Caenorhabditis elegans: one gene and its partner. The protein of the gene in region 1 purifies or fractionates together with the protein of each later gene. This does not show direct contact. Each region holds a gene or a part of one and is shown in the gene's direction. Other genes may lie near its edges.

The links.
Region 2: the proteins of gldi-3 (region 1) and C05C9.3 fractionate together in Caenorhabditis elegans (co-fractionation; one large-scale study listed by BioGRID). This does not show direct contact.

Annotation. Positions count from the first base shown.
Region 1 is NC_003280.10:9,273,461-9,284,530, reverse strand, and holds gldi-3 (Germ layers disorganized gldi-3), read left to right. Parts: upstream 1-4,432; 5' UTR 4,433-4,490; coding exon 4,491-4,591; intron 4,592-4,642; coding exon 4,643-4,723; intron 4,724-5,825; coding exon 5,826-5,946; intron 5,947-5,994; coding exon 5,995-6,274; intron 6,275-6,325; coding exon 6,326-6,396; intron 6,397-6,445; coding exon 6,446-8,326; intron 8,327-8,379; coding exon 8,380-8,502; intron 8,503-8,545; coding exon 8,546-8,746; 3' UTR 8,747-9,507; downstream 9,508-11,070.
Region 2 is NC_003284.9:11,146,970-11,158,039, reverse strand, and holds the start of C05C9.3 (ULP_PROTEASE domain-containing protein), read left to right. Parts: upstream 1-5,219; 5' UTR 5,220-5,227; coding exon 5,228-5,291; intron 5,292-5,878; coding exon 5,879-6,021; intron 6,022-7,816; coding exon 7,817-7,931; intron 7,932-7,973; coding exon 7,974-8,106; intron 8,107-8,146; coding exon 8,147-8,231; intron 8,232-8,408; coding exon 8,409-8,603; intron 8,604-8,810; coding exon 8,811-9,093; intron 9,094-9,138; coding exon 9,139-10,662; intron 10,663-10,710; coding exon 10,711-10,773; intron 10,774-11,044; coding exon 11,045-11,070. Other genes in the region: C05C9.2 (uncharacterized protein), read right to left, coding at 497-579, 630-665, 730-812, 857-908, 962-1,163, 4,665-4,720, 4,763-4,822, 4,872-4,974.

The DNA of each region.
Region 1 (11,070 bases):
AAGTTCGGCGCCGCAAGATTTGAACGATGTGGGTGGTTACGGATGACAATTATTTGAAAATTCCTAATATTAGTCAACTTTCGAAAGGGTTAGTTAGAATAAAATATCATATAAAATTTTGATATCGATTTCTTTAACGTGCATTCCGTGTACAGTTTCAAAAAGTCCAAAAACAAAAAAATCAGGTCAAAACCTTGAACCCTCTAGTTAATGTAAAATAAAAATTCGAAGACGCACGTGCAAAAACACAGCAATTGATCGCTGACTGGTTCGAAGGGGTTGTGTCAATGACAAGAGAATCACGAGACCCTTTTGATAAGAGAAATGATGATGATGGTGTCTTGAAGAGGGTTAGGGGCAGCTGTTTAGTTGGAATAACACATCAATATGTGTACAATTCCTCTAAAACATGTGTCAAAGATTACACATGAAAAGAAATAAAAATTCGAAAAATTGTTTGTCTTAAAATGTTTTTATCTGAAAAAGTTCCGGAATAAGTCACAAATTAGAGATCAAACAAATTTCCGGATTTCATTCATTTTTCAATATTCAAATCAGCAAACGAAAAATTCGAATCTATTCGAACTAGTTCAATTAACACCCCAACTAATTTTGGCAGTAATCGTCTCGAAAAATGAAGGCACGACGCGGAGAACTGGTTTCCTATTACTAAATATGTCAGGGTTACAGAAGAGAAGAGACAAGGGCATTCCGTTCCGTTGGTTAGATCATTATCATCAATATTTTGTTTTTAGTTTATCAAGAATTGTTTATTTTAGTTTTGGTTCGCAGTAATAACGGGATGTGGTTTAGACTTCGAAAGTTACGGTATCTTAATTTAAAAATGACGTCAACTAGACTATTCTCTAATTGGATAGAATTTAGTCAACGGGTTTTAGAAATCAATCAGTAAATTATCTCAAAATTCGTCTCTACTAGAAATTTTCAATTTGAAAATTATAGTCCAAGAAATGAGATACAAAAAATTCCTCCAAGAACAATTTAAAAAAATAGAAAAGGGTACAAATCCATTCTATTTACGATCTTTTCTACAAATTTCTCCCATGCACATAAAGCTACAGTATGTCGGTTGATTTTCTAATGGAGACGGCTCTTTTCTGACTTAAAAGTTGAGAGAAATATAATTTATATTTCTGACTACATCTAATAGTAAGAAGCTTGAGAGCGCTTAAAAATTAGAAATTACTAAAATAATTTAACTTTTTAGTAAGTGTATGCTTTTTTCGAATAATTTAAAATAAGAATTACTCAAAAATTGTAAGATATTTAAGCACAAAAACTCTTTTAGTTAAACGAACAAAGCACTGTTATACATAAGCATGTATGTATATATCTATATAACAAAAATGTACTATAGACTCAATGTTGAAGGGAAGGAAAGACACAAGGGCAGGCCAGTTCGTTTCGTAGGCAATAGAGACTCGTTGCGGCCACCTCTCTCTTGCAAACGCTATTTCCTCGCTATCCTTCACTTACACACTCGCACATAAGAGACCGCCCGTGTCTCGAGTCTCCACTTTTTACATGCTCTTTCATCAAGTATACGGTGTCTGATGCATCTCTCTGGTTTCTCTCGTCTATTGATTGAGAAATGTGTGGGGATAGGGGGCGCAGCACGACGAAAAACGAAAAAGCGACGTTAGAGAGATGGAGAGTGTCTGTGGTTGTGTGTGTGTGTGCCTCAACCATCTTCGGCAGAATTTGTTGAATAGACATTTATCTCACGTTTTTTTTCGTAGATTTGAAAAGTAGATTTTTTCCGCTAATTTTGTTATTTTATGAGAATCTTTTAACATTTAACTACTTACTTTTATAAATTCCGCGCAATTTTCGTTCAGAAGTTCAACATTTTGGATTTTAGAATAATGATTTTTAAAATAACTGAAATACAATACAAAATTCAATTTATTTTATGTAAATTTAAATATTTTAGTTCAGAATTAGAAAAAAAAACATCAAAAATAATCCAATTTGTTTTGTTTTTGAATTTTTATTAATGATTTTTTAATATCATATAATACTTTTTGCGAAAAGAAATGTTCGTTATTTTCTAATTTTCAGTGCCCTTGGTCTTTTAATTTTTTATAAGTAGTCAACTATTATATAAAATTCAGAAAAATTTCCAATTTTTCATTATTCGTTGCTAATGAAATTTTAGAAAAAGAAAATGTCACGAGTAGTATATTTTCAAATTTATTATGCATATTTTTGGAATTACTAATGTGAAATTTCTTGGTGTTTAATTTTGGTCACTTTTGGAAGTTAAATGAAATTCTCGGAATCGTGACTCAACTAGACTTTTTTTTCAATCAAATTAAATAATTTCAGTGGTCTTTGTTTTGTTCAATTATTCCTTCAAAAAGTTATGAATCATACTTTATGAAAACAAAAAAGAAAAAAATCAATTAGTGACACCTGGCACCAGTTTTTTCCAGCTGCTGAACAGATTCCGTATTTTATAGTTTTTTTTTCAACTTTTTACGGAAAACTATTGACGAAAAATATGAAATAATCAATATTGTTCTGTAAATTCCTCATTTTCTGAACAACCTACGCACAATTTACAATTTTCAATCCAATGGGGATACTGTAGAAAAGGTTTCTGAACGAAGGAAAAGAATGTGAAAAAACGGGGAAAACATTTCGCAATCATCTTTTCTCTCTCACTCTAAGAGTTCGTTTTCTTTTTTCTTTTCTCTCGCAAATACACACACACACAACGACACATCCATTATTTCTCCCCCACACACACAATTTTCCGCTTTTTTCCTGATGCTCCATTGCTCTTAGCAATTTTCTGCGTGTGTGTGGAAATTATCCAATAATTTTATGAAAAGTAACTCTATCAATTAGCCCCACGGACTACCAAAATTTCTTGGCATTTGCCTGTCATAAATGTATTTTATGGGGTCGCTGAGCAGCACTTTTCACCAATTTTCAAAGCCCACTTTGTCCAAAAAAGGCAGATACTGTAGTTTTATGTGAAAATTGAAGAAAATTGGAGAAACATGCTCTGCTAGACTAGTATTATCTACTTTTTTTCTAGACTACAATTTATTTTACGATTTTTATCTATTTTTGGCTCACGTTTTCTTGTTTCCAGGCAACTAGTTATTTTGGGTTTTTTTTCGTATTTTTGTAGACTTGTTGTGGAGATTTTGAGTACAAAAGTTGAAATGGAACATTAACTATTATTTATTTTTCAAAAATTTCCAAAAAAAAAGTGTATTTTTCATCATGAAAAATGTTTTCAAAGTTTAATTTTCCTCTATTATTTAAATTAATTCATTTCAATTTTCGACTCTCGAAAATAATAATTTTTGTGTCAATTTTTTCTGGTTTTCCTCAGCTCACACCGCTTTTTTCTCGATTTTTTGGGCTGTCCTCTAGGAAAAAAAACTTTTCGCAACCCATTTTTTTCATTTCACTTACCCTAACTCTCCATATGTCGTCTCCCGTCCGACACCAATATTGACATAAACTTTTTTCAAAAACTAAAGTACACAAAAAGGGTCCAGTCATTCATCAACGAGGGAATTGAAATCTTGAGAATAAAACCTTGTAGCTATTTTTTGAAATTGGAAATTGTTTAAAAATTCTCATATAGTTCTGAGATATTTTACTATCGTAGAAAAACGTTACAATTTTTTGAGACTTTTTAAAAATTAACAGTAAAAAATCAGGTAAAATAGTTTTGGAAGCCGACCAAAAAACCCAAAATTTTTTGAGAAAAAATCTAAAATTGTTTTATTTATTATGATCACTTTCGATTATTATAATTATATTTCTACAAAATCCCCACTACTCCACCTTAAATAAAATGAACATATCTTCAATTTAAAATCAAATACTTTGACACCTTCATTTTTCCATTATCAACTACAAAAAACAATTGTTGTCAATCTTTTTCTACCGTTTTCCGTCACTTTTTCAATTGACAGTCGACCGATTTATTTTTTGATCGATCGATCGTTTTTATTATCTATTCGATAATATGAATGATAATATCGTGCCTGTCCGTCTCTCTTTTTTCACTTACTTATTCTTCTATTCATTTCTGCAGCTGATAGTAATTTGGCTTTGAAAACGGAAAAAAACTATAGACAATGTTTTTCTTAATTTAAAAATATTTCTGGAACTTTTTACTTAATTTTTTAGCTAATCAAAAAAACTATAATTTTCACGATTTCAATTTTTTTTTTCAAAATTTCTGAAGACCCAGAATAGCGGCCGAAAGATCACATTTTCTTTCTATTAAAACTTGATTGAACGATAATTGTACTTTTCACACCACTGATTGCCTTTTCTCTCGTGATTGAATTTGAAATTCCTTTTATTGATTGTCGATCGTATTTCTTTTTTTTTTTCAAATTTCTCCACCTTCTCATTATTAAAATAGTTTTTTTTTCAGTAAAAGGGAATGCGCTGAGATTGTCCATACTTACCCTAATCACACAAAATTCTGAAAAATGACAACGGTGCGGCTTCATCTGCGTCGAATTATGTGCAATTCTAGTCGAGCACAAACTGCTCAGCATACTGAAGAAGAAAGGAAACGAACCATCATTTCGTAAGTTTTTAAAAAATTCATGTTGTTAATAAAAATGTTTGAATTTTTCAGATTGCAAGGTGGCAAATCGTTTGGTCGAGCTACAACCAACGATGTGATTTTTCTTGATGGAACGGAACATGTCGAATTGGAGTGAGTTTTCTTATTAAAGAAAAACAAAATATTATTCATAAAAATTCTTATAACGTAAAATCCAAAAATCTCAACCCCTTAATCAACTTTTGTGATTCATAATGTTGAATCCAATTTCACGTCGCCCCTCCCGTCGTCTATCCCATAGCAACCAACACAGCCATGATTTCTGTCTCGTATTGCGGTGGCACTTGGTCGACCAAAACTTATATATTTTTATGTTGTTTTTCTTATTCGGAATTGGTAGTCTCGACACTGTTTGTTAGGATAGGATATAAGGAAATTCGACAGAAAAATACGAAAAATTGGCCGAAATATCCCTTTTCTCTCTTCAAACCATTGTTATTTTCTACAAATTTATATTAATTCGCAAAAAAAGATCACAAAAATTGTTCTACAGTAGTATTATCAGGTTATCAGACAATATCTAATCCTTTTGCCCTTGAAATTTAAAATCTCGTTTCACTGATCCTTTTTCTCAAGGATAAGCAAACTATTTTTGAATGAAACTTTTGAATTTTTGAAAAAAAAAACATGAAAATGTTAAAATATTTCTCAATTTTCTAAACGAGTTTTCTTGGAACAGGTGGAAATTCACTTTTCAGCTTGAAGTCCAAGTTTTTCGCCAATTTATTTTATTATCACATATAAATTTTTCAATAGAAAAATAACTTTCTTTGACCATTTTGACCAAAATTTCCGATATAATGAGTTGCACGACCACTTTCTCAGTTTAATTTATGTATTATTTTATAAAAATATCTCCATTTTGAACGTTCCAATTATCTTTGTCACATAATAATAATAGTAATGTTTCTCATTGTGATTACTTATATTTCTAATAATTCTCATATATCTGACTAGACTATTTCAATGATAGAAATAATAATATGTTAATTAGAAAATCTAACTATACGACATGCTTTTCTTCTGTTTTTCCCACCTGCAACTATATACTCCCAGTTATATAGCTCTGACTATACAACTTTAATCTGTTTCGACATGTATCACTGAAATAACTAAACGTTTCTTATAAGTAGACATTTATGCAAATTCGAAATTTAAAATTTTCTATATAAATTAAAAATAAATCATGTTTCAGACCACAATTCATATCTCGGTGCCACGCGCGCGTTCATCATACGAATCAAGACGGTGTTGAGGAGTATCTTGTTGAGGATATATCAGAAAACGGAACGTATATCAACGATCGACGTTTATCGGTATTTTACAATTTTTACAGTAGTCTCCTAAAACCCTCATAATTGCAGAAAGACAAACGAGAGATTCTAAAAAGTGGCGATACTATCAAATTTGGTCATAAAAACGGATCTCAACACGTTGCTGATCAAAAATACGACCATCCAGACGCGGATTTTGCATTTTGTGTGGAAATGTCCACTGCTGGAGAGCCTGCTTATCAACTTGTTGAACAGATCAGAGACTCGAGAGTGAAGGTATTCGCCGGAACAGCTTGTGCGAAAGATATTGGTCCACGAGAACCTTCTACAACGAATAAGGTTCTTCAACAGGAGGCGGATTCGACAAACGGTAAGAAGCCTAGAAATTGAAAGTTTTGAAGATGAAAAATCAGTTTTTCAGGTGGTCCGGAAATGGAAAACAACAGAGCATCGTCTGCTTCATCAGCGACACCAGAAGATACTCAGATGCCGGTATATTTATTATCATGAATGATGATTATATAGAACTATGAATTTTCAGAGCACATCGCAATACTTCTGCTCCATCCCAAAGAAAACACCATTCCGGAAAGAGTTTGATTCTCCGCTGCATAACTACATTTACCGGACATCAAGGCATTCTCCACTTTATCGGAAAAAGCTGGCAGAACAAGCTCAGAGAATGGCCGTGAAAAATGGAACATTTGTTAACGATTCTGGAGTTATTGAGCTTCTTTCTCATCTATTGGATATTAATGTGGCTTATGAGAATCTGGTGACAAAGAACGAGAAATTGGAAATTATTGGAACGTTTTGCGAGAAAAACAAAGGAAGCTTCAAGGTGGACGAGCTGAGTAGACGAAAAGAAGAGTTAGCTGTGATGATGGAAGAAGAAGAACCACAGACAATTGAGATTAGAGAATTGCTCGTGTCACTCAGTGAAAAAGCACAGGATGTTCAATCAAATGATTTCACAATCTCTGCATCCAGCGCCTTCACAGTAATCAGCACAAGTGGTGTTCTCTGTCCAACAGCAAGTCTTGCGAACGAAAGTGAAGATAGTTATATACAACATCTCAAATCCATCAATATTTCAAGTGAAAAGTCGAGGAAAATTGCAGACGAACTGAAAACTGTTCGAAATTCGGAAGTAGCTCCAATTGAGAATAAGCCGCTCAGTCCGGAGATGATGGTAGTTTTGCACCGTCTTGTAAAAGCAAAGGAGCATAATAACAAAGTAGCTCACGTGTATACAGGGAATTATGCGAGCACTGTTTCAAGAGTCATGGAAATGGTTCCGATAACATCTCAAGTTGCGGTGATAACTACAGCAGGAACGCCGAAGCATACATCAAAAGGATCAGCTGAAACTGCGCCTATGGAAGTTGATGATGAGAGGCATTCTGCTAGCAGTGGATCAACTGAAAACAACTATCGAAGAAGAACTGATTCGGAAGAAAGTGAAATCTTGGACGTTGTTGGAACAGATGAGCCTGATAAGGACGAGAAGGGAGGAACTGAAACCGAGACTCCAACGCCATCCCCAGAAGATCATGGACGGCAAACTCAAAATAAGATTGACAAGAATGTCCGGATGAGTTCTACACCCAGAATTGACGCCCAATCAACACCATCAGCAGTTGTTTCTGCACTTCCCACTCCAATGAATTCACCGTTGCCTAGAGTAACTTCTTCAAAATCTGCGCAAGATGTGTCGACGCCTTCTACAACACCCAATCCGGTATCGCGATCGCCAGACCCTGTGGCTCTCGTTAAGGATTCGGTATCTTCAGAATCAACTGTTTCTGGCATTGTTTCTTTGGAAAAAATAGGATCACCTGCAGCACAATCTGTGGCTTCTGTCCTTCCATCTGTTTCAAACACAACATCCTCCACATCTGCATCTCTGACAACGTCTTCGGTAGCAGAGGAAGAAGAGACTTCTAGCAAAGAAAATACAGATCAGAAACGAGCTGTTGATGATTCATCAGACGAATCAGCTCGTCTTGTTAAACAAATCAAGGCGCTTTCGGCAACTCCATCATCCACACCTGCAGAATCTTCGAAGAGGAAACAAAAAGATACATCTTCCCGAAAAATGAAACAACTTGATGAATCATCTGCTGATTCTGATTCCGAAGATGATGGAAGATCGGGCGATAAGTCTACAAAACGAAGAGATAAAGCAAGAAGATCAACCCGAATTGGAAAATCAACACCTGCAAAGAAAGTTGGAAAGAAAGAAAAAGTTGTTGAAGATGAAGATGAGACTGATGATGTTCAAGAAGAAGAGAAGGTCACTCCACGAGGAGGCCGTAGAAAAAACATGAAAAGAACAGCCAGTCAATCAGCGATCAAGGAAAGAAAGACAAAAGACAAGGACGTAGAGCCAGAAGAAGCACCGAAGAAGAAACGAGGAAGGGTTCGTGATTTTTGAATAAACTTGAATTAAATTTCTAAAACTTTAAATTACAGAAGAAGGCGACACCTACCGAAGAAGAAGAACCACCAAAAACGGAGCCAAGCAAGGAAAGATGTGGTGTAGCAAAAGGACATTGTATATCTGCCAAATACGAAAAGAGAAAAAACTTACAATGGGTACACACTCAAAATATTTTTATTTTACAAATATGATTTCCAGGTTTCCTGCTCCATCTGTAATCAATGGTTCCACGTGTGGTGTGTTCGTCTTGACAACGTTTGTTATCGAGAAGACGAGACCTTCCTGTGCTGTGGATCACATCCATCAAAAGAAGCCAAAGACGCGTTAGCCGGTCGAGTTTATGCGAGGTATCAAGCAATGCCGAATAAAAAGCCAATCCCACAGGCTTCTGAAGCTTGAAATTTTTCATCATTTGCAACAACATCTTACCATTCATTTTATCATAATTTCGCCCCAGGAATAATTAGTGACATCGAGGTAGCATTTCATTTATTAAATATTCTTTCTAATCAATCATTTATAATCCCCCTATTTCTGTATTTTAAGATCTTATGTGGAAAACGAAATTAATTTTTCAATTTCCATACAGTTAGAGTATTTCCCCTCCAAAAAAACACGTTTCGTCTGTCTCTTTTGATTATTTCGCGGGTTAAAAAACTCTTATTTATGGCCATTCGGTTGATTTTCCTCTTTTTTGCCTAGGCGATTTCTTTCCTGTTTGTTTTTTTACTTTTCTTGTTTTTATTTTTCCTCTTTTCCCCACCCAAAAACTAACAAAAAAACCCGAGTTGTGAATTGTGTGATCTCTGGAGATTCCGCACAATTTTAGGATAATCTAGCCGGCGAGATTCCCCCATCATCCCAACATCATCATCTTTTACCATCCCAATGAGTAGTGTCGTTTTGTTTTCGGTTTATCTTTTTTTTTTACAAGTTTAATTCTAATATACTCAACCGATTAGCCTAGGATAATGCAGCCAACTGACTTAAATTTCTCACTTTTCCCTCTCAATAACTCGATATTCTTTATCGAAATTTGCCTTTTTTCTGTTCAGATTTCACATCAAAAAGAATGGTGTCCCCCGAATCTTTGATATTTTGCTAAAATTTGTATTTTTCATTACTGTTCGGTGTTCACGAATAAAGTTTGATAAAGTTTGATTTAATTATCTGAAAATGTCGATTATTTAATTTTCAGTTATTGCTTAACAGATATTTAATTTATTATGTAAATTTAAGTACATTGAGAGTGGAAATAAATTCGAATTTGATGTTCCAAACAAAGCGATGCTGTATTTGAAGAAAATAATTCTGAAAAAGCAATTTATAATTTATACGAATCACAATCTTTTGCCTCAGAAACTCCTTTCATTTTTCTTTCTGGAATTTTGACCAGTGAAATTGGGACGACAATTTTTAAAAAATTAGGAGAACAATACAGTAGCCCGTCGCGCAAAATATCTCGTAGCGAAAACTACAGTAATTCTTTAAATGATTACTGTATCGCTTGTGTCGATTTACGCGTTCGATTTTTTAAATGAATAAAATTGAGCAAAAAATGAGAAAATAACACGAAGAAACGAAAGAAAATGGAATATTGCTGTCACTTTTTGAAAAAAAAAAAGATTTTGAAAATTGAGCCCGTAAATCGACAGAAGCGCTACAGTAGTCAGTTAAATAATTACTGTAGTTTTCGTTACGAGATATTTTGCGCGTCAAATATGTCGCACAATATGCATTCTCCGAGTTTTGCGTTCCTGTAATACGAAAAAGGTTACTGTATCCCAGGGTTTGGATCGTAGTTTTAGAAATCCCAAAAAAAAAGTTAGGACTCTTTGATAAAAAATTTTGTTCGATATGATTTGAAAAAATAAAGTTCCGTCAACAAAATTGACAGCTGAAGAAGGAAAAGGCGGGGCCCCAGTGGGCATGAGTGTCCCCAAGTCATGCGGTTATGTCTCTGCGTCTCTTCTTCTTCGTATACTCTCATTTCAGCTGTCTCATCGTCTGAAACTCTTATGGCTCAATGAACTCTCGTTTCAAAGAGACAGCTGCAATCGAACAGAGAGAGAAAGAGTGAAAGAGAGAAAATGAGAAGACTGCTTCGAGACACAACCACTTTTGGTCGTACTGCTTTTTTTCACCTGTTTTCACATGTATCGATTCAAGTTTTTAGAATCTAAGTTTCAAATTTTGATCACTTCAAAAATTATTAGTTATTTCTTTTTAGTCTAGACTTTCCTCGCGAGAAACATGCTTAAATTTGAATATATATCGAAATGTTGTATTTCTTATCAATAGACAACATTAATGTTTACTATCGATTAGGTTTTGTACGATTATGTCGTATAAAAATGTTGCTAATGCATTTCCTATGATTCTTGATGTTTTAGAACGGATTACGAAATTCTGCAATGATCAGTCAAATAATTTAAAGATATTTAGTATATTTAGCTACCACCTAGATACAGTAACTGATTAAATCGTCTCACTTCTTAAGTCTATTGTTAACTCTTTTCCTTAAAAAAGGGTCTTCATGTCCTATTTGTTTTGGTTTCGAGACCTGTTTTGGGCATAAATACGTGCAAACTACGGAAAGTCATTCCCGGTTTCCCAGAGAATCAATATTTGACGAGAGCTTCCGTGCACACCCAAACACACAGACACACATACACATAAAATGTTTCACAAAGTCGCTAAAAATGTTTTCTCATTGATTTTCT
Region 2 (11,070 bases), on another chromosome or scaffold:
CGTATTCAGCTTGAACTTTTAAGTACTGTCACATACAGTTGCCAACATAGCACTAATTGTTTTTTATTTGTTATTGTAATTTACATCTTACCATTTGCAGTGGACACATCAAAAATAAACATCAGTGAGCAACAAATTGTTGAGATTCATTCAAGATGTTTACAGTGAGCACCAATTTGTCGTTTTTCTAATTTTTTAGTAGTGAAAATTTCAGAAAATGTGTCACTTGTGGATGGTAGGAAGCAATTTTGCAGCTGTTGCACATATGGAATTTGTGAGCGATCTTCTCTTTTTACTATATTTCAACACGTATTTCGATTTGATCATTTTGTTTTCTCTCTGATTTTCTTACTGAATTAATTGTGTTTTACTGCAAAGCTTGTGAAGACAAGAAACATTTGTTTTAGTTTTGACGGAAAATATAAGAAATGGAGAAAGTAAGATTTGCCACAATGCGATATGGTTTCAAATAAAAACATTTTCCAATTACGTTAGGTTAGAGATCTAAAATACTTCCTTCATATTTAGCATCTGGTGATCGAAGACTGGGAACCAGCAATTTTGGCGAACGGAATGAGCCTTAACTGATGTAAGTATAAACTTATTTAAATTGTGTTATTATTACTCACCATTGGCTTGTTGTCGCAAATCCAGTGTGCTGTAGTCTGAAACTGTTAAGTGGTTTTTAAATTGATTTTATGCATTTTCTTTCATCTTTTTTTCCCTCACCGTTTTCATCGTCACTCGAAAGGATTGTTTCATCAGTTTGATAATGCTCTATTGGATTTGAAGCTGATTCGTGGTAAGTGTCCCTGAAATTATTATTTTAAATTGCTTATATTTATGAATACTTTACCTAAGTATGTCGTCAAGAGTGTCGTCGTCGTCCATGATGTAAGGCGCATCCCCTGGAGACACAATAATTTGTTAGATGTTTTCGTAAACGATTATTAACACATACCTATTGAGTACCTTTCCTCGTCAGAATCGAGTAGCTCCTGACGAAATTTTGCGTCATCCCACACAGGGTTATCGAAAAATATCATTGTAGTATCGGCGTCTTTTGTGCTTTGTCGTTTTGCACGTTTCTTACTTCCCAGCGTCAGTGATTGAAATTCTTCTGGCAGAGATGGCAGAGGAACTTCGATGAAGTTTTGGGAGTCCTGAAACATTGAAAAATTTATTCTATTTCAGTATACAAGGTTCATCTTCTACTACATTGTTGGTTATGCATTTATCACTTTTTACCAACTTAGCTTTTGAAACAATTCAGAAATCATATCCAAAAGCTTAATTGAGGTCTGAAGTTCTCCACAGACTCTGAACAAAGTGTTTCCACTTCTGATTAAGGTTAAATATGAGCGTAATAACGTTGGAAAAGTAGAAATAAAATATTAAAATAGAATTGCAGTGAAGTTTCTGATTGATTTGGAAATAAAACTTATTCTCGCTGAAAAATTTTTGCAGGACTTCACATAGAGGCCTAGAGGTTGCCGGCCGCCGAACTTACCGGTATTTGGTACTTTTTAACAAAAAAAAGATTCAATTTCAAATCAATCAAACACTTTACAACGTTTCTATTTTAATTTTTGTTTCAAAAAGTAGGATTACTATACCGAGATAAGCCGTTTTGTGCAGTTGCCGATCTGGTTGCCGCACAACCCTGAGCCTTGGTTATGAACAACACCTAATTATGTTTTAGCCACATCATCACCCTTAACATTACTCATTTTGCAAATACTTCATTGGTTTCTTATCACATAGTACCTTCTTCACCCCACTTGTCGTGTGCCCTTTTTGAGACTAACTCTTTTCGTTTAACATTACACACTTAGCAAATGGCAAATGGTATTTGGACGCAGTGTAATGTGTGAAGCAGTTCTTAACAGTTAAGTTGTACAGGCATGTTTTGTTAGACTTTTCGATATCTTACAAACTACACAAACAAACTCTTCAGCTCGAGAAGTGAACAACAGTGGGAAACAAAAGCTACTTGTTTTTTCATTGAAGTAAAATTAGTGCAATTTTTGGAATTATGGAATTAAATATAAATTTTGTGAAATCCCCAAACCTTAATTTTGGCATTTTGATTGAATTTGAATCGTCTATCTTCATTCAAATTGACATTGCCATGACAATCTTTTTTCATTAAAATGAAAGAGGCTTGTATTTTATGTAATGGCATTGCACTCTCTGTTCTTTCGCGCCCAAAGCAATCACAACGGTATGCATTCACTTTTCCCTTCGATTTCATATTTTTGCTCGTCATCTTTCTCTCTCTTTCTTTTTTTTCGCCCAATTCACTTTTCCAAATCTCGTCTTTCTGATTTACATTGATATTCCCAAGGAGAAAAACGGAGAAAGACAACTATCCCTCTTCTTCACGTTGGCTATCCAATCAGAAATTATAGACGTTTCGGTCTATGGCGCTGGCGTTGTCAACTTCATAGCTCCTCGCAACTTCTAATTTAACACGGGCGCGCTGTCCCGTTTCCCCTCATCGCGTACTCCTCTGGTCAAAAAAGGGATGGCTGCATCGCATTGATTTCCGTGTGTCGCTCTTTCTGTTGTTCTCCTCAACATGCACACAGATTGAAAAAGGGGAAAGATGGGAAACTATGAAACGGAAACCACATTATAAGAAATAACATGGGGAATATATATTCGTTGCATTAATATGTTTCAATGTCGAAAAGAAGGGGCGATTTTTGAGAACAGCAGTGAGACTCCTTTATTTCTCCAGCCCTACCTTGAAACGTTCTCATTCTAAACACGTATTAAATTGGTACAGAGGTGTACGAACATTTGAAGATTGAAGTATCATACCGTAGAAACTCTACGCAAGAATGTGTGCATCTATATCATCAAAGGTTTCTTCTCTGCCTCTATTGAAAACGATAAGGAATTGGTTTCATTGTCTTCTGCTCATGCTGCTCATGCTAGATCGAGCCACTGTTTATCAAAGCTTCCATCGTTATCACAATATCACAAGTTTCCAGTATTATCGAACAACCCTCTTTGGCATTTCTTCTTCTTTATTTTGGTTTTCCAACGTCATACAATCACTCCTACCGACCACCGGTAGGATGTTGCCCGCCTCCTTCCTTCTTTCACATACACCTCACAACAGGCTCCTTCCTTCATATTCTCGTCTTGGCTCCGAGCGCGACCGCCGTCGCAGCCATTGCCCTGGTCGCCGGTCTTCTACCCTTCCCCTCTTCTGACTGTGGCGCTGTTGGAGCCCAATTGACAGCAGAATGCTCTACTGATAGTTACGAGTGAGAGTAAGATTAGCTGCTGTGTTGCTGTAGATCTTCTACACGTATTTAAATTCCGGCCTCGTGTTCGTAAGTCGTAAAAATTGTGTGTATATATTATTTTTTGCCCTCCGAGTTGCTAACAGGAAATTTTCTATAACCGTGCAAATATAACCTCTTGCATAATTTTATTGCCTTTTGATAATAAGTTTCTAATGTATACAGTAGCTCACTCATCCAATGAAGGACAAAAAACAACTTTTTTGAATTTTGTGATTTGTGCAACAAAAAAGGGAGAACCTGACGTTTTCTGTCCATAGGTTACTTTTGAGTTTTTTCTCACGTTTTATCTTATCGATCTTTTACATACCTTGCACAAATTCTATCATGAATGACTATTAGTTAAGTACGAAAGCCGCGATACTTTTTCATTATATTGCGTAAACCTCTTTGCTTATTCTGTTCTCTACACACTCTCTTTTATAAATCCTTGGAAAGAGCACTTGCTTGAAATCCTCTTATCAAATTCAAAAAATACTAACAACAAAAATGTGCAAAGTGGCAAAAAATATTGTTTCAGCGTTTTGTAGAGACAGAAAGTCTGAGAACCAGCGACCATAAACTAACGTAACGTAACTGATTAATGAGAAAAATCAGAAAGATCAAACAAAGTAGCTTCTATCCAGGCACAAAATACTTTACTGCAAACCAATAACGAATTTTTATCTTCTGGGAAACTGGAAGTTTTTCGAAGTGTTGCACATTGATTGTAGGCGCGAAGATAGGGATCTTTACCGGTTTCTACGACTTGCGCATCAAAACTTTGCTAGACAAAATCGTAGAATTATTATAATTTGTTTTGATGGTTAATTTTTTGATTACGGGGAAAACCTAGCCAGAGGAACGTCTAACAAAATTTTGCGGAAAATTGAAATATTGTGTGTAATTGTCAGACCCTGAATTAGTTAACCTCCCAGTTTTCAAATAAGATACCGTTTAAAAAAAACATCGGTGTATATATTTATTAATCTTTTTAAAAAGTGACGTCACACGAATCTTATTGTGCGACGTCAGTACAGAAATCCGAGTCATAATTTTTTGAAACTTCTGGAAATCATTTTGAGAAATTCTTTGAATACGCGTGTTTGAAAAATAAAAAAATTTTCTATGTATTTTTTTTATATGTATATATAATTTTACTTTATTTTTCTAATTTCATCAAAATTATCGTTCCAATTCAGTTTGAAAAAATTATTATTAAAAAACCTAGAAGCTTCAGTTTAATTGCCAAGTTCAAGTTGACCTGATGCAGGATTTTTCTGATATGTCTCACACAGAAAATATTTTATTTGATGACCATTTCTAATTCAAGATTCTCAATAATTTGAAATATGTAAAAATATTCACCTTTCTTGCTGCCATCTCCATTATTTCCTCGAAAACTCCTTTTGTTTTCGATTTTCCTTAAAGAATAATAATTTTTCGTTGTGTTTTTTCTCACTCACCATTTGTCATTGGTATTTGATGATCCACTGATTCTGACATTGTTTTCATTCTTCTCAATTCTCAATTTTGTTATTAAATTCAGAAACTCGCAAATTATTTTGATCTTACTTGTTGTGTTTATGAACCTTTCGTGAAACTTTCCACATTCTCGATCGCACGGCCAAATCTCGCAGTATAACTGAATTCCCTGATGAAGCATTTCGCGATACATGCTGAAAAAAAGAGAGTGAAGTCATAAATGATGCTCGCACCGAAAGCAAGAGTGACCAAAAACGCAAAAAAAAAAGAGGGTGTGATAAATAAAAGTGTGAAGGCATCGTCACGGGTAACTAAGGGCAACAGTGTAACCTTTTCTAGATACGTGTGATTTTTTTATGTTTACTTATAACGGTAACCAACGTACCACTTAATTGTTCTGCTGTCATTTGAAATTTGACATTAATTTAATAATTATAGTTTCGAAAATGGAGGACCTCGAAACTTCAACTTCAGACAACGAAGAAAATCATCGTTTGACTCTTTATGACAGTACGTTATTAATTCCTACAAAAAAGAAAAAGTAAACTACTTTGTAAAACAATTGAACCCTTTTGCTGAAATGTTTTTTTTCTCTTAAAAAATATAAGTAAATATCATTTTTCGATGGTTTCCAAAAAGTTTTAGAATAGTATTTAATGAATCATTTTAAACATTTATTAGTGTCCCGAGATTTAGCTAGGTTTGGCAAATTTTCTTTGTCCAACATGATTTAAAAATGTAATAAATTTGAACCAAATCTCATTCAAATCTAATTATTATATTTCGAACATTTGTTTTCTAAAGATTTGATTCTAAAATTCTATTCGCACAGTACATTAATTATTTAACGAATCCTCTCGGCTGAGCTCAGTAGTATTTTTTGGAAACTAACCTAGTTCTTCAACATCGTATACAGTGATTGAAAATTATTCAAAAAAAAATCATGTTTACTTGAAAAAAAAGGAAAAAAAGAGAAAAATACAAAAGATGAAAAAGATGGATGAACAAGTGGATATATTTTAAATTGTCTTTGAAAAAAAAGTACTCTGAAACTTTGAACTTTGAGTTTGAAAACGTTTCAATTTTTAATTTTATAGAGTGTATACAAAGCAAGTGGTATCTGGATAAAGCAAAAACGCTTAAGTCTCCTGAACAAATAGAAAAGCTGGGCAGATTATTAAACTTTTTGGACCAAGATGAGTATCATGACCGAATCGATTATTTGTCGGATCCAGTGCAGGTGAATTTTTTGTACACAGTATAGAACATGAGAAAAGTACTGCTTAACATAAATTTTTAATTTTTTGGATAATAAAAAGTAGGGTTGTAGGCAGCGTTGCGGCTTCATTAAAAACATATAATGCTAGACTTCATTTTGAAAAATAATGCACATGTTAGTTTTCTCTCAACCAACGACTGCTGAGTATTTGTTGCCTGGAGCCTAAGAATTGGTATAGAAATATTTCGAAAGGAGAGTAGGAGATGAAGTGAAAGATAATGATAGAAAGAAGAGGGTGATGTAATTATAGCTGAAGAGAAACCTTTCAAAGGATGGATTAGCAACAAAGATTCTCGAAATTGAAGATTTAGTTCAAAAGAAGACTATACATAATGCATAACAGAGAAAAACGGATAGAACGTGACTAGCAAAAGTGATTCTTAAAGATTGCTGAATAATTTCTTTGAAATTCAAACTTTAAGCATCAAAAATTATTAATCATGCAAAATTCAAAAATGTTATAATTCCGGACATGAATGAGTTAAATATTTAACAATGACAACGAGTAAACAACGAGTTTTTGCATTGATGAGAAATTCAGCACGTTAAGTTTTTGCGGGCGTTTTGAAGCTATATTATTATCGCACTAACATAGCCAAAAAAAAAAAAAGTAAAACATTGTTAAGTTACAGCAATTAACAAAATCTTCAATTCTCAAGCGCCCTTGTTGTGAAAAAATGTTTACCAAATTCTTTGAGAAATACCCAGAAATAATCATCTCCTTCGTAAACTTTTGAAACTTTTCTAAAAATAAAAATGAAGAAATATAGGTTTTTCATTAGAAGAACAAATGTATTTATTTTATTAAAATAAAATAGTTTTTTGTTTTTAGCGACCAACAATCATTTTTTTTTCAAAAAAGTTCATTTTAAGTAAGATATTAATTTTAAAAGTTATGATAATTAAACAAATCTCCAAAAAAAAGGGAGACTTATATATAAAAAATACAGTTCGTCTGTCCATAGTTTGTAGTCTATGTAGTCTTTGTAGTCTGCGGAGTTTTGGCTTATGAAGGGTTATTGGTGAATGGTTAGTGGGGAGATATTAATTTTAAAATTATGAAAACTAAATAAATCTCAGTATAAAAAAGGGGTCATTTATATGCCTGAAAGGTCAATTTTTTTGATTGAACTGGAAGCTTTTGGCACCTAGAAAAAATTTGCATTTAAATTCTGAAAAACGCTAAAAATTTCAAACAAGTCCCCGAAGAAACATTTCCAAAAAAGTTCATTTCAAGTAAGATATTGATTTTTAGAATCATGAATACTTAGTAAATCTCCCAAAAAAAAGGGGTCATTTATATGCCTGAAAGGTCAATTTTTTTGATTGAACTGGAAGCTTTTGGCACCTAGAAAAAATTTGCATTTAAATTCTGAAAAACGCTAAAAATTTCAAACAAGTCCCCGAAGAAACATTTCCAAAAAAGTTCATTTCAAGTCAGATATTGATTTTTAGAATCATGAAAACTTTGTAAATCTCCCAAAAAAAAAGAGGTCATTTATATGTCTGAAGGTCAGTTTTTATGATTGAACTGGAAGCTTTTGGCACTTAGAAAAATTTTGCATTTAAATTCTGAAAGTTATGATAATCAAACAAATCTCCAAAAAAAAGGGCCATTCTGTCTGAAGGTCAGTTTTTTTGATTGAACTGGAAGTTTATGGCACTAAAAAAGTTAGTTCTTCTATCATTACAAATCCAACTAGGCTCTTACTTTTTATACCAGATCTAGAATATTCGAAAGTAGAAGAATTTTCAGTTAAACAAAAATGAGCTCCCAGTCGACACCCCTGAATGCTTCTACAATCTTACAATGATTCCGGAATTTTGTACAATGACTTCTCGCCAATTCTTTTCTATGATACAATCTGCAGGTAAACAAAATGTTTCAAAACTCGGCTAAATCCATTTTGCAGACGATAGGAAATTCAAATCTGTAATTGCAAAACTTGGTGTATACTTTGACCATCCACAAGAAACATTTTGGGACTTAATCCCTCTTTTCACGTTGGGAGATGAGACGCATGTTTTAGCATCAACTTTATTTCGGTAATCATTGGGTTATTTTAAAAACGTGTATAGTTTCCAGATATGCAACGAAACTGTTTTCCCCTTCAATAAGTGGCGTTATTCGGATTAAAACGTTATTAAGGTTGTTGAATATGGGGCGCCCGGTAAGTATTTCTTTTAATGGAGTAAATGTAACACACTGTAAATAAAACCTAAAGTAAGTCTCAGAATACTGAATCACATTTAAACGCCAGTACAAAATTTTGATTTAGATCTAGCTTTTTACACACTTTCATAAATACATAAAAAATGTGAGAATTTCCCGAGCTGAGAACATTCAGCATTTTGGTCGAAACAACAAACTGGCACTATCGAGATACTCATGGACAAAATCACGCGAAGATTGTTATTACGGAGTCGATGCAGCTTTTAAGCCATTTATCATCAAAAAGCATATAGTTCCTGAACGTGATTATCCACTTTCCAAAGCTACAATTGAACCATTGCTTGTTGAAGAAGAGGACTACGCATCATTTGTGAGTAATAAAATACTGATGTTTCGATTGTCGTACATAACAAGGAAAAATCCTGTAATGACTAGGTTTATTATTTTTTTGAAGATTAAATTTCGGACAGAATGAAAAGCTTTAAAAAAAATTTAGACTATAGCTTAATTTCGGTCGTTTAGAGCCAATTGTAGTCAAAGCAAATAACCCACACACTCATGTTTTATGAATTTACAGGACTCTGAAAGGGCGATTGTACTGCTGTATCATTTTCCGCAAATTATATTGCCATGTATTGGAAAAAAGCATTTCAAAAAGTGGGATCAGTATTATTGGGAAGTGGAATCAATGTCAACAAACACGTTAAGTTGCATTTGCAAAAACAACATGGGAATTTTTATGCACATTCAAGAACACTTCATCTACAAATCGCCATCAGGTTTCCTCTGTTGGGGATGCTTCCCACATAAACATCTCCTCCTTGTAGCTTGCGCGAATTTTTTTCGGGATATGGTTAAAAGTGAGTAGTTGACTGACTTTAATGCCGAACAACACATATTTTCAGATCCAAAAATCCGAAAAGCCGCAGAAAAAAGAACTCTACCTAAGATCGAAGATCTTTACGAGACTTTGAGGAAAAAGCCAAAAACTCGTTGTCCCGCTAAAGAGGAACGCGACGTCATAATCACTCGTGGTAAAGCACAAAACGTTTCGAATTCAATAGAAGTTGTAGTAATCGATGACGATGATGATATTGGCAACATCCAGGAGGACAAAACTAACACAAAACGACAAAGTGCAGAAGATGAAGAAGAATGCGATCTCAATGTTTGGGCGTTTTCATGCAACTCAACTATTGAGCACAAGGAAGCTGAAGAGCTAATCAGTCATTTGGAGCTAGAATCTTCTCAGAATTCAATTCATAACGACAACAGGAAGAAAAACGAAGACTATGACATGGAAATTTCTGAAATCGAAACAATCACTCAACGCCAACTTGAAGGTTACGGAACATTTAACAGTCCAGAGATGAAGAATGAAAGGATTGTGAATTGTGAATTGAAAAGTCAACCTTCTTTAACCGATATGCATTCTGAACTGGCCGCAACTAAAGGAAGACAAAATAATGACTTGCCCATGAGCTCCATACCGTGCCAAGATGCAACACAGAAAGACATCGATTCATCGACTCAATCAATGTTACAAAGCACTGTGCAATCTCTCGAGAATAATTATGTCTCCAATGAAAACGAAAAGACGGAGCAATCAGACGGAGAATCAGAAACAAATGACAACAAACTGGAAAATGTTCTGACCACGGAAATTTCAGCTGATACAAACATAGATATTGAATCTCAAATAGACATGAAACATCCACAACAAAATCTTCCCGTTTTTGAAACTTCGAGTGAAGAAACAATTAAATATGGACAGATCAAAAGCCCGACTCCTGGTTCCGAAAACATCGGGAAAGTTATAGATGAAGGTGACCTGCATAAATCTCCATTATCCTTGAATGAAGTATTGTCTTGCGATGAATGCTGGTCTATTCCAACTCAGAGAACGATTTCGTGTGATGATGATGGGTATTCTGAATCTACAAGAAACAATAACAAAGCACCACAAGTATTCTCACCAGACAAACAAGACGCGAAAAAAAACTGTCAGGTGATTTCTGAGAATTTTGGGAAATCCGAAGAACAATCTGAAGGTGATGAAACTTCAAATAAAGGAAGCAAAGATGAAAATGGAAACATGTTGGATGATGTAGACCAAGAAAATACATCTGACAACGAAATATCGTTCCCAGATGATGAGGCTAATGGACGAAATGTTATTACTTCTACTGATAATTTGGCTTGTGATGATCTACTCTTGGCTACTAACACCGATTCAATACATCTGACCAAGGTTATAGAAACTGTTCCAGTCCCAGAACCAATTTTTGTGCTCAGTGTGAATGATAAAAAGGAAACAACTGGAAAAGTAGAGCCTGAACAAATAAACTACCCTGAAAGCATACAAAAAGATTCATCTGATGAAGTTGTTGGTGAATCAAGAATGTGCAGTCCCATAAAACCAAATGATGGTAACATTATTTATTTAAGAAACAATTTGACATTGATTCATTTTTCAGACGCTCACCCTCAAAAAGATGGTTCCTCACAAAAAGACGATAATCAATCCGAGATACCACCAGGTTTGTTTGTTCATAATCATAAATTATCATTGCAATAAGATACAAAATCAAAACCAAACATTTTTCTGAAAATGGTTCAGTTCTAAGCGGTTTTACAAGTGACTACAAAGGATCATCCATTTAGTTGTGCTCCTATTTCTGATAAGATTTGCTTGAGAAAATATTTATGTGAAGATGAGAACTGGCGAATGCAGAATTATTGAGATATTACATAAATAGTGTAGCTAAAATGGTTAAAGCACCTCCTGCAAATTAATTGAGCTGTTTTTAGACGAAAAACTGATTGACATGGCAGGC